Linked DNA regions of Bombyx mori. The protein of the gene in region 1 interacts with the protein of each later gene in a biochemical or structural test. Links are inferred from orthologs where the notes say so. Each region holds a gene or a part of one and is shown on either strand. Other genes may lie near its edges. The genes, in order: C-terminal-binding protein and protein hairy.

Region 1 (3,833 bases):
ACTAGAGGTCGGAGTAGGTAGATTGATTTAGGGTAAGGTAAGGTCTTTGATTTCAAACGTAGAGGATAATATGGATATGCCTCCAAAATACCGGAACTTCATATTTATTGTAATATTTATTCCGAAATTTTGAAATTAGCATGAATATGTGTTTAAGTTGAAAACGTATTAATAATATTAATCTACGCTACCAGTGCTAGCTAATGGTGAAAGAAATCAGTATTTTATTTTATACGCTGTATTTTGTCCCTTTTCCCCCCTTCGTTGCTAACACTGCCCCCTAGCAAGAGCCGTGCTTCGCAGAATCTACCACCGGATCGGAAACGCGACCCACTGAGAAGATCCGGCGAGAAACTCAGAGGGCTGTGTCTGTGGGTTAATTTACGAACGATGACCGGCTCCAGTTGATGAGGAGCTCAATCGACACAAGCGGTGGGCGCACCTTATTGACGCAGTTCCGCAGACAGTCGGGGATGCGGCCGACGATGGCGCGGCGGATCTCCGAGGCGGCCATCTCGCGCAGCTCCTGTGCGGACGCGTCCGAGTAGAAGGCCGCGTGCGGCGTGCACAGCAGGTTCGGAGCGTCTTTCAGCGGACCCTGCTGCAAAAGTACAGAACACGTCAGTGCTGACGCGGTTGACAGGGACAATGTCGGTCGGTGACCGTTCAAATAAGCCTACAACACCAAGAAATTAGTTCAACAGAATATTGAATCATTATAATATAATCATCGACTATAGCTGTATGGGAGCGTAGTTATGTTTTTTTAGGAATGAAAGATAATAGTGGCCCAGAAGTCAGTTTCACCAAAACCAATGGGCGAGCAAAGGCTCACTCAGGCAAGAGGGGTGGGATTTGAGACCTAACAACAACTCAAGAGCAGCTGTTTCGCGGATTAATCTACTACCAGATCGGAATCGCGACCCGCTGAGAAGAAAGCGAGAATCTCAGCAGGTTGATTGATGTATGGGTTAGGTTGCACGTCGAGCTCTTTGCTGGGTTCGACGAGTACGGTTACCGGGATCCCTAAGGAATCTTCCTAGTGCTAGAGCTGAAGGTGTCCGGTGCTGAGGTTAATGGATCTGATGGATTCGTAAGGACATGTCTACAGCACTTATTATCTACATTAGAGGTGGACAAACAAGATAGAAATGTTTCATCTTTACTTTTTTATTGTTTAGATGTATGGACGAGCTAACGATACTTCTGGCGTTAAGTGATCATCGGAGCCCATAGACATCAACAACGTAAATTCCGTCACTCATCTTGAGACGTTCATTTCTAAGTCTCAGTTTTTAGAGTACAACGGCTGTTCCACCCTTCAAACCGAACTGCATTACAACTTCAGGGCAGAAATAGGCGGGGTGGTGGTGGCTACCCGTGCGTGCACTCATTTATAATTCCTAATTTGCACTTAGTGGTTACGATGAAACAATCTACTATTGCATTGACACCCTAAATACTAGAGCTGTTTTTTTTGTTTTTTTTTTTACTGCCCGTTTAGGCAGACGAGCGTACAGCCCACCTGATGGTGAGTGGTTACCGTCGCCCATGGACTTCAGCAATACCAGGGACGGAGTCAAGCCGCCGCCTACCGCTTAATACTCTCCACAAGCCTCGTTTGAAGAAGGACATGTCACAGCGCTCGGGAAACACCGTGGAGGGGAGCTCATTCCAAAGCCGGACGGTACGTGACAGAAAAGACCTCTGGAAACGCACTGTGGATGACCGCAGTGGCTCCAGGTAGTATGGATGAGCTCTACTCTCTGTTTTGTGACTTAAATATTGCTTATTTTGCGAATGATTAATTAATAGAGATTAGAGTTGAAAAAAGGTTGAGAAGTTGCGGGGTATGGTTTTAATTGTAAAACAGTTAAATTATTTTTTTATATTATATATGTGTTTGATATTGGGTAGCCGCTGGGTAGCGGCAATCACGTTAACATCTCTATAAGCAAATAAGTAGACACTTAACCACAAATTAGCCATGAGCTTTGACGTGACAACGTCTAATAAATCGGCTGAACACCGGCTGCACGCACGAAAAAGTGTCACGTTCCTCCTGAGCGAGAGAGAGAGGCACGATCAGCCCATGCGTTGGCTCCGTACCTGGAAGACGTTGAAGGGTTCGTTCTCGTGCACGTCTAGCGCGGCGGCTCGGATGCGGCCCTGCTTGAGCGCGGCGGCGAGCCCCTCGTCGTCCACGAGCCCGCCGCGCGCCGTGTTCACCAGAAACGCACCTGGAACATACGAGAGGAACCGTCACCAGATATAGAAGACACAGTGGAACTTGGATGAAATTGTAAAGACACCAAACTACAATAATGAAGCAGTCATAAACAGCATAAACAGCAGCAGTTTAAGCAGTAATAATTTCGAGTTCACTCAAAATGACGATTATTCTACTTGTACTAAGCCCATAATTGTTGACAAAATATATACTCCCATCTGTTGTAACGGCCTCTATCTACTCTATCTAGTTAGAATTGATAATAAAAAAACCACTAATGACAACACAGCATTGTTGTACATTTTAGCCCCAAATGACGTCACACAGTATGATGTTCCGCGTAGCCAGGCTTTAAACGCTACAGTCTAAACTGGGTTTCAGTCCACGATCGTAAAAAGCAAACGATAACATGCTTTCTGCTACTGATACTTCCATTTTCTTTATAGTGTTGTGAACAAGTAAACAATGCAAGTAATAACATTGTTTTGTAATTACATTACAATAAATACAATTGTTCAGATACACTATTACAGTTTGATTTGATCAGTTTAATAATGATAATAGATTATTTCAGTCTGTTTTGATAATGTTAGATTTTTACTATGTCTTTAGTGTGTACTTTTTGTAGTTTATAAAATATAGCTTTTGCCCGCGACTCCGTCCGCGTGGAATAGTTACTTTGGCATAGCGCTAAATTTTACGCCCCACTCATTTAATTTACGTAAAAATTGAAAATATTTTGAAACATTCTTTATTGGTGCTCCACTTGTATGGGTCTCATGATGTTATATAGCCTATAGCTTTCCTCAATAAATGGGCTATCTAACACTGAAAGAATTTTTAAAATCGGACTAGTATTACCTAAGATTAGTGCGTTCAAACAAACAAACTCTTCAGCTTTATAATATTAGTATATATATCGAGGGGTGAAACGTTATTTAGTTTAAGCGATATTTCGCTTAATACGGGACATTTAATTAAAGTTCCGTTTTATTTGGTATTAGCGTCAACAGTTCGATACTTTTAATTGAACTTTAATTAAGTTTTCTCCATTCAAATAGTTGAAGAAGTTTTGTTATAATATTTTTTCCAAATTTTAAACTTTGAATGGCTCTCCTGTTAACGTTTAAAAAATGTCGCTTAAACCAAACAGCCTTTTACCCTTCATTATTATTTTTGAGAAATTTAAGGCTACGCTGAAGTAGTTTTTTTGTTATATTTTTTCCAAATTTTAAACTTTAAATGGCTCTCCTGTTAACGTTTCAAAAATGTCGTTTAAACCAAATAGCCATTCACCGCTCATTATTTATTATTTATGAGCAATTTAAAGCTAAAAGGCTTACCTGGACGCATCTGTTTGATGGTGAACTCGTTGATGAGGTGGTGATTGTGCTCGTTTAAGCTGCAGTGCAGTGAGACACAGTCACTCTGGAATAATAAGTCCTGTAACGGAAATATTATACATTTTAAAAAACCCATAAATACCTTTTCCGAACTCTCCACTTTGCGTTGTAGTTAGCTTAGACCTGTATCTATGTGTGTATGAAAATTTTACAAATTTGATGGAAATTTCCAATTATATTATACTAGCGACCCGCCCTCG
Region 2 (3,559 bases), on another chromosome or scaffold:
AGGCTGTGAGCTCGTCCACCCAACTAAGCAATAATAATAATAAAAAAGTCAAAACGTCAAAAATGTATGACAGAAAAAAATGTGAGATTAAAACCGTAAAAATTGTTTTAATTACGTCTACGACTCGCGGAATCTGAAATTATTATGTACCATTACTGGGTGCATGAAAAGCTTTGAACTTGGATACGTTTAACTACTATTTTAAAGTGAAGGTGTAAAATTTGTAACTATACTTGAGACCTTAGAACTTATATCTCAAGGTGGGTGGCGCATTTACGTCGTAGATGTCTATGGGCCCGAGTAACCACTTAACACCAGGTGGGCTGTAAGCTCGTCTGTCCACCTAGGAAAAAAAAAAAGTAAAATAAAATAAAAGTCAAAACGTCAAAAATGTATGACAGTAAAAATGTGAGATTAAAACCGTAAAATTTGTTTTAATTACGTCTACGACTCGCAAAATCTGAAATTATTATGTACCATTACTGGGTGCATGAAAAGCTTTGAACTTGGATATATTTAACTACTATTTTTTTAAATATTTAAAGTGAAGGTGTATAATTAACAATGACCGTTACCAGCAATGAAAATTGTGGAATGTTGGTTGCCGGGGTCGTCTGTATCCGAAGGCGGTGTGGGTGCACTTGCAGGCCTTGTTCCAGAAGTGCTATTAACGCAGGTTTCCAAATGCCTGACGAGCCTTCTCCGCAATGCAGGCTCCATGCCTTGGAACTTTGCCACCTCTGTGACGCACTGTCTATAGCCGGCCCGGAACTTGTCCGGTGAAACGGCACCCTCTGACCGTAGACCTTCTAGATGCTTCACTGTCATTTCTAATATGTCGGCTTTTTCGAGCTTCGAATGTCTAGCTGGCTGTTGAAAGAAAAATAAACGTCACAAAACAATTCTAGAACATTTTTTTGAAAGGGCATATAAAAAATCACTACATAGTATAAAACAAAGTCGCTTTCTCTGTCCCTATATCCCTATGTATGCTTAAATCTTTAAAACTACGCAACGGATTTTGATGCGGTTTTTTTAATAGATAGAGTGATTGAAGAGGAAGGTTTATGTGTATAATAATATCCATTAAATAGTGGAAAAACCAATAATAAATTAAAGTTTCCGAAGCGAAGCGAGGGTGGGTCGCTAGTAACCTATAAATATGAAGTTATAATAGAAAACACGAATTCGAAATAAATCGTCTTGTAAACATGTAAATTTTCAGTTTTGGGAACATCTACGAAGTCAATTTTACGTACATAATTGAAATTCTACAGATTAGCATCGGGAAAATTATTCGTATATACACATATTACTTACATCTTTTTTCATCGCGTCTAAGATCAGCGCTTTCAACTCGTTGAGACAGTTGTTGATGCGCGCCCGACGTCTCTTCTCCATAATTGGCTTGTTACTCTGTAACAAATGGACATGTTAATTTTTTTAAATTAACCTTCCTGTTTATTATTATAATCAGTGTAGAAGTGTATTTAAAAAAAAAAAAACTAAGTTACACTTTTGATATTTTAAGCCATTCATTTTTTTATTGTCATGATTATTATGATTATTATTATAAATGCTGTTTGCGTTAACAGTATTTAGAAAAAAAAAAACGAAAGAAGAAATTGACGTGTGTGCATAATACAATTATGTTACCGCACTTGGGTAAAAAAATTAACACTTTGCTATTATGTTCAAACACGCCTATTCCAAGTAAGAAGGAATAGGAATAATATTATTATAATATGTTACATGCGAATGTGCTTTGTGTATCAGTAAATTTGCATCCACTTATACACGACACTGATCACGAGATCCTACACGCAATGTACGGCAAAATACTTATACTTTCCGTTACATAATTATTCTACTTTACATCTGTCCTTTTTGTGTATTTCTTTCATATCTATATGTAGATTTGTTTGTGTTTAAGCGTCAGTTGTTCGATTATGTCGAAATTTTCTAAGTGTTTTCGTAACTTTAAGAAAGCAGCAACCCACAATAGTTAGCTGAAGATTTTTCGATTGCGGAGTGCAGCATAATAATACATATTTAGATCTAGTCGAAAGGGGCGATTCTCGTAACAAAAATAATAGTAGAAGCGGCTGTAAAGATAGTAGTAAATAGATGCTTTTTATTGTTCTACTAGCGACCCGCCCTCGCTTCGCTTCGGAAACTGTGATTTATTATTGATTTCTCCACTATTTAATGGATGTTATTATACATATAAACCTTCCTCTTCAATCACACTATCTATTAAAAAAAAACCGCATCAAAATCCGTTGCGTAGTTTTAAAGATTTAAGTATACATAGGGATATAGGGACAGAGAAAGCGATTTTGTTTTATACTGTGTAGTGAAGTAACAAGACGATACCCGACGGCATCGGCAGTGGGTTATAAAATCAGAACCCTACTACCCATTCCTTGACACATGAGATTGAAGTCACAATTGTATTGTGTTATAAGGGCTGTGCCAGCTTTCAAACTGAAACACGCAGTTTCTCGCCGTGCTCACGATATCCCTTTAATCACCACTAAAATCCTTTATTCATCAAACATCATCATTTTACGAGAGCGTGTCTGTCATAATAGTACTAATTTTAATTTTATCAGTAATCTAGATAGGACGTGTTTATAATGTACATACATATGTAACAATAGAATGAAAATTACGAAACAAATTAGTGCTAAATATAGCCTTACTTATCTTGTTAACGAATGCGCAAAAAGAAACCGTGGTAAAAACAGACACGTGACAGACGTGATTAATGTCGTGTAACAATACGAATTTGATGGCGCGTGTGTGTCGCCTCACTTCAAGGTGAAGGTCGCGTTTAGTCGTGAGATCCACGATGCGCGCCTCTTTTGTCGTGACGCGGTCATTACTCACATGACGAGTTAAAATTCTACAATACATTAGATAATGGTTTAGATACTTATGTAGTTTTTTTTTATTGCCCTTGTAGGCAGACGAGCAAACCGCCGCACCCGATGTGTGGCTACCGTCGCCCATGTACATCAGCAATGCCAGAAGTAGAACGAAGCCGCTGCCTACCGTTAAAAGTTACATACTGTATATAAATTTCAACTCGAACGCCTTAAAGTTTTGTTCGTTCAATCTCATTTTATTTTTTTTATGATTGAAGTGTTACAGGATGCCTGGAGGCCTTTCCAGTTTCACCAGGACAGGTGGGCGAGCAAAGGCTCAGCCAGGAGGGGTGGGATTTGCTAACAGCTGCCCGAGCGCCTCCGAAGGAGACCTAACAACTTAAGATTAGCTGCTTCGCGAATGAATCTACTACCGGATCGGAATCGCGAACCGCTGAGAAGATCCGGCGAGAAACTCAGCGAACTGATTTATAGGTTAGGTTGCACGTCGAACTCTTTGTCGAGTTCGACGAGTACGGTTACCGGGGTCCCTAAGCCTGCTCCTAATATTAGAGCTGAAGGCGTCTAATGCAAAGGTTATTGGATCTGATGGATCCGTAAGGACGTGTCTCATTTAAGTATTGTTCGAAGCAGAATAACTTTGAAACATAGCAAATTTATTTCTTAAT

The links.
Region 2: the proteins of C-terminal-binding protein (region 1) and protein hairy form a complex in vitro, tested with the Drosophila melanogaster proteins (2 studies listed by BioGRID). The link is inferred for Bombyx mori from reciprocal best matches to the Drosophila melanogaster genes CtBP and hry.

Annotation. Positions count from the first base shown.
Region 1 is NC_085132.1:10,087,602-10,091,434, reverse strand, and holds part of C-terminal-binding protein, read right to left. Parts: intron 3,674-3,833; coding exon 3,574-3,673; intron 2,241-3,573; coding exon 2,110-2,240; intron 602-2,109; coding exon 443-601; intron 1-442. UniProt on the Drosophila melanogaster protein: Corepressor targeting diverse transcription regulators. Hairy-interacting protein required for embryonic segmentation and hairy-mediated transcriptional repression.
Region 2 is NC_085114.1:6,574,153-6,577,711, forward strand, and holds part of protein hairy, read right to left. Parts: intron 1,417-3,559; coding exon 1,321-1,416; intron 871-1,320; coding exon 576-870; intron 1-575. UniProt on the Drosophila melanogaster protein: Pair-rule protein that regulates embryonic segmentation and adult bristle patterning. Transcriptional repressor of genes that require a bHLH protein for their transcription (e.g. ftz).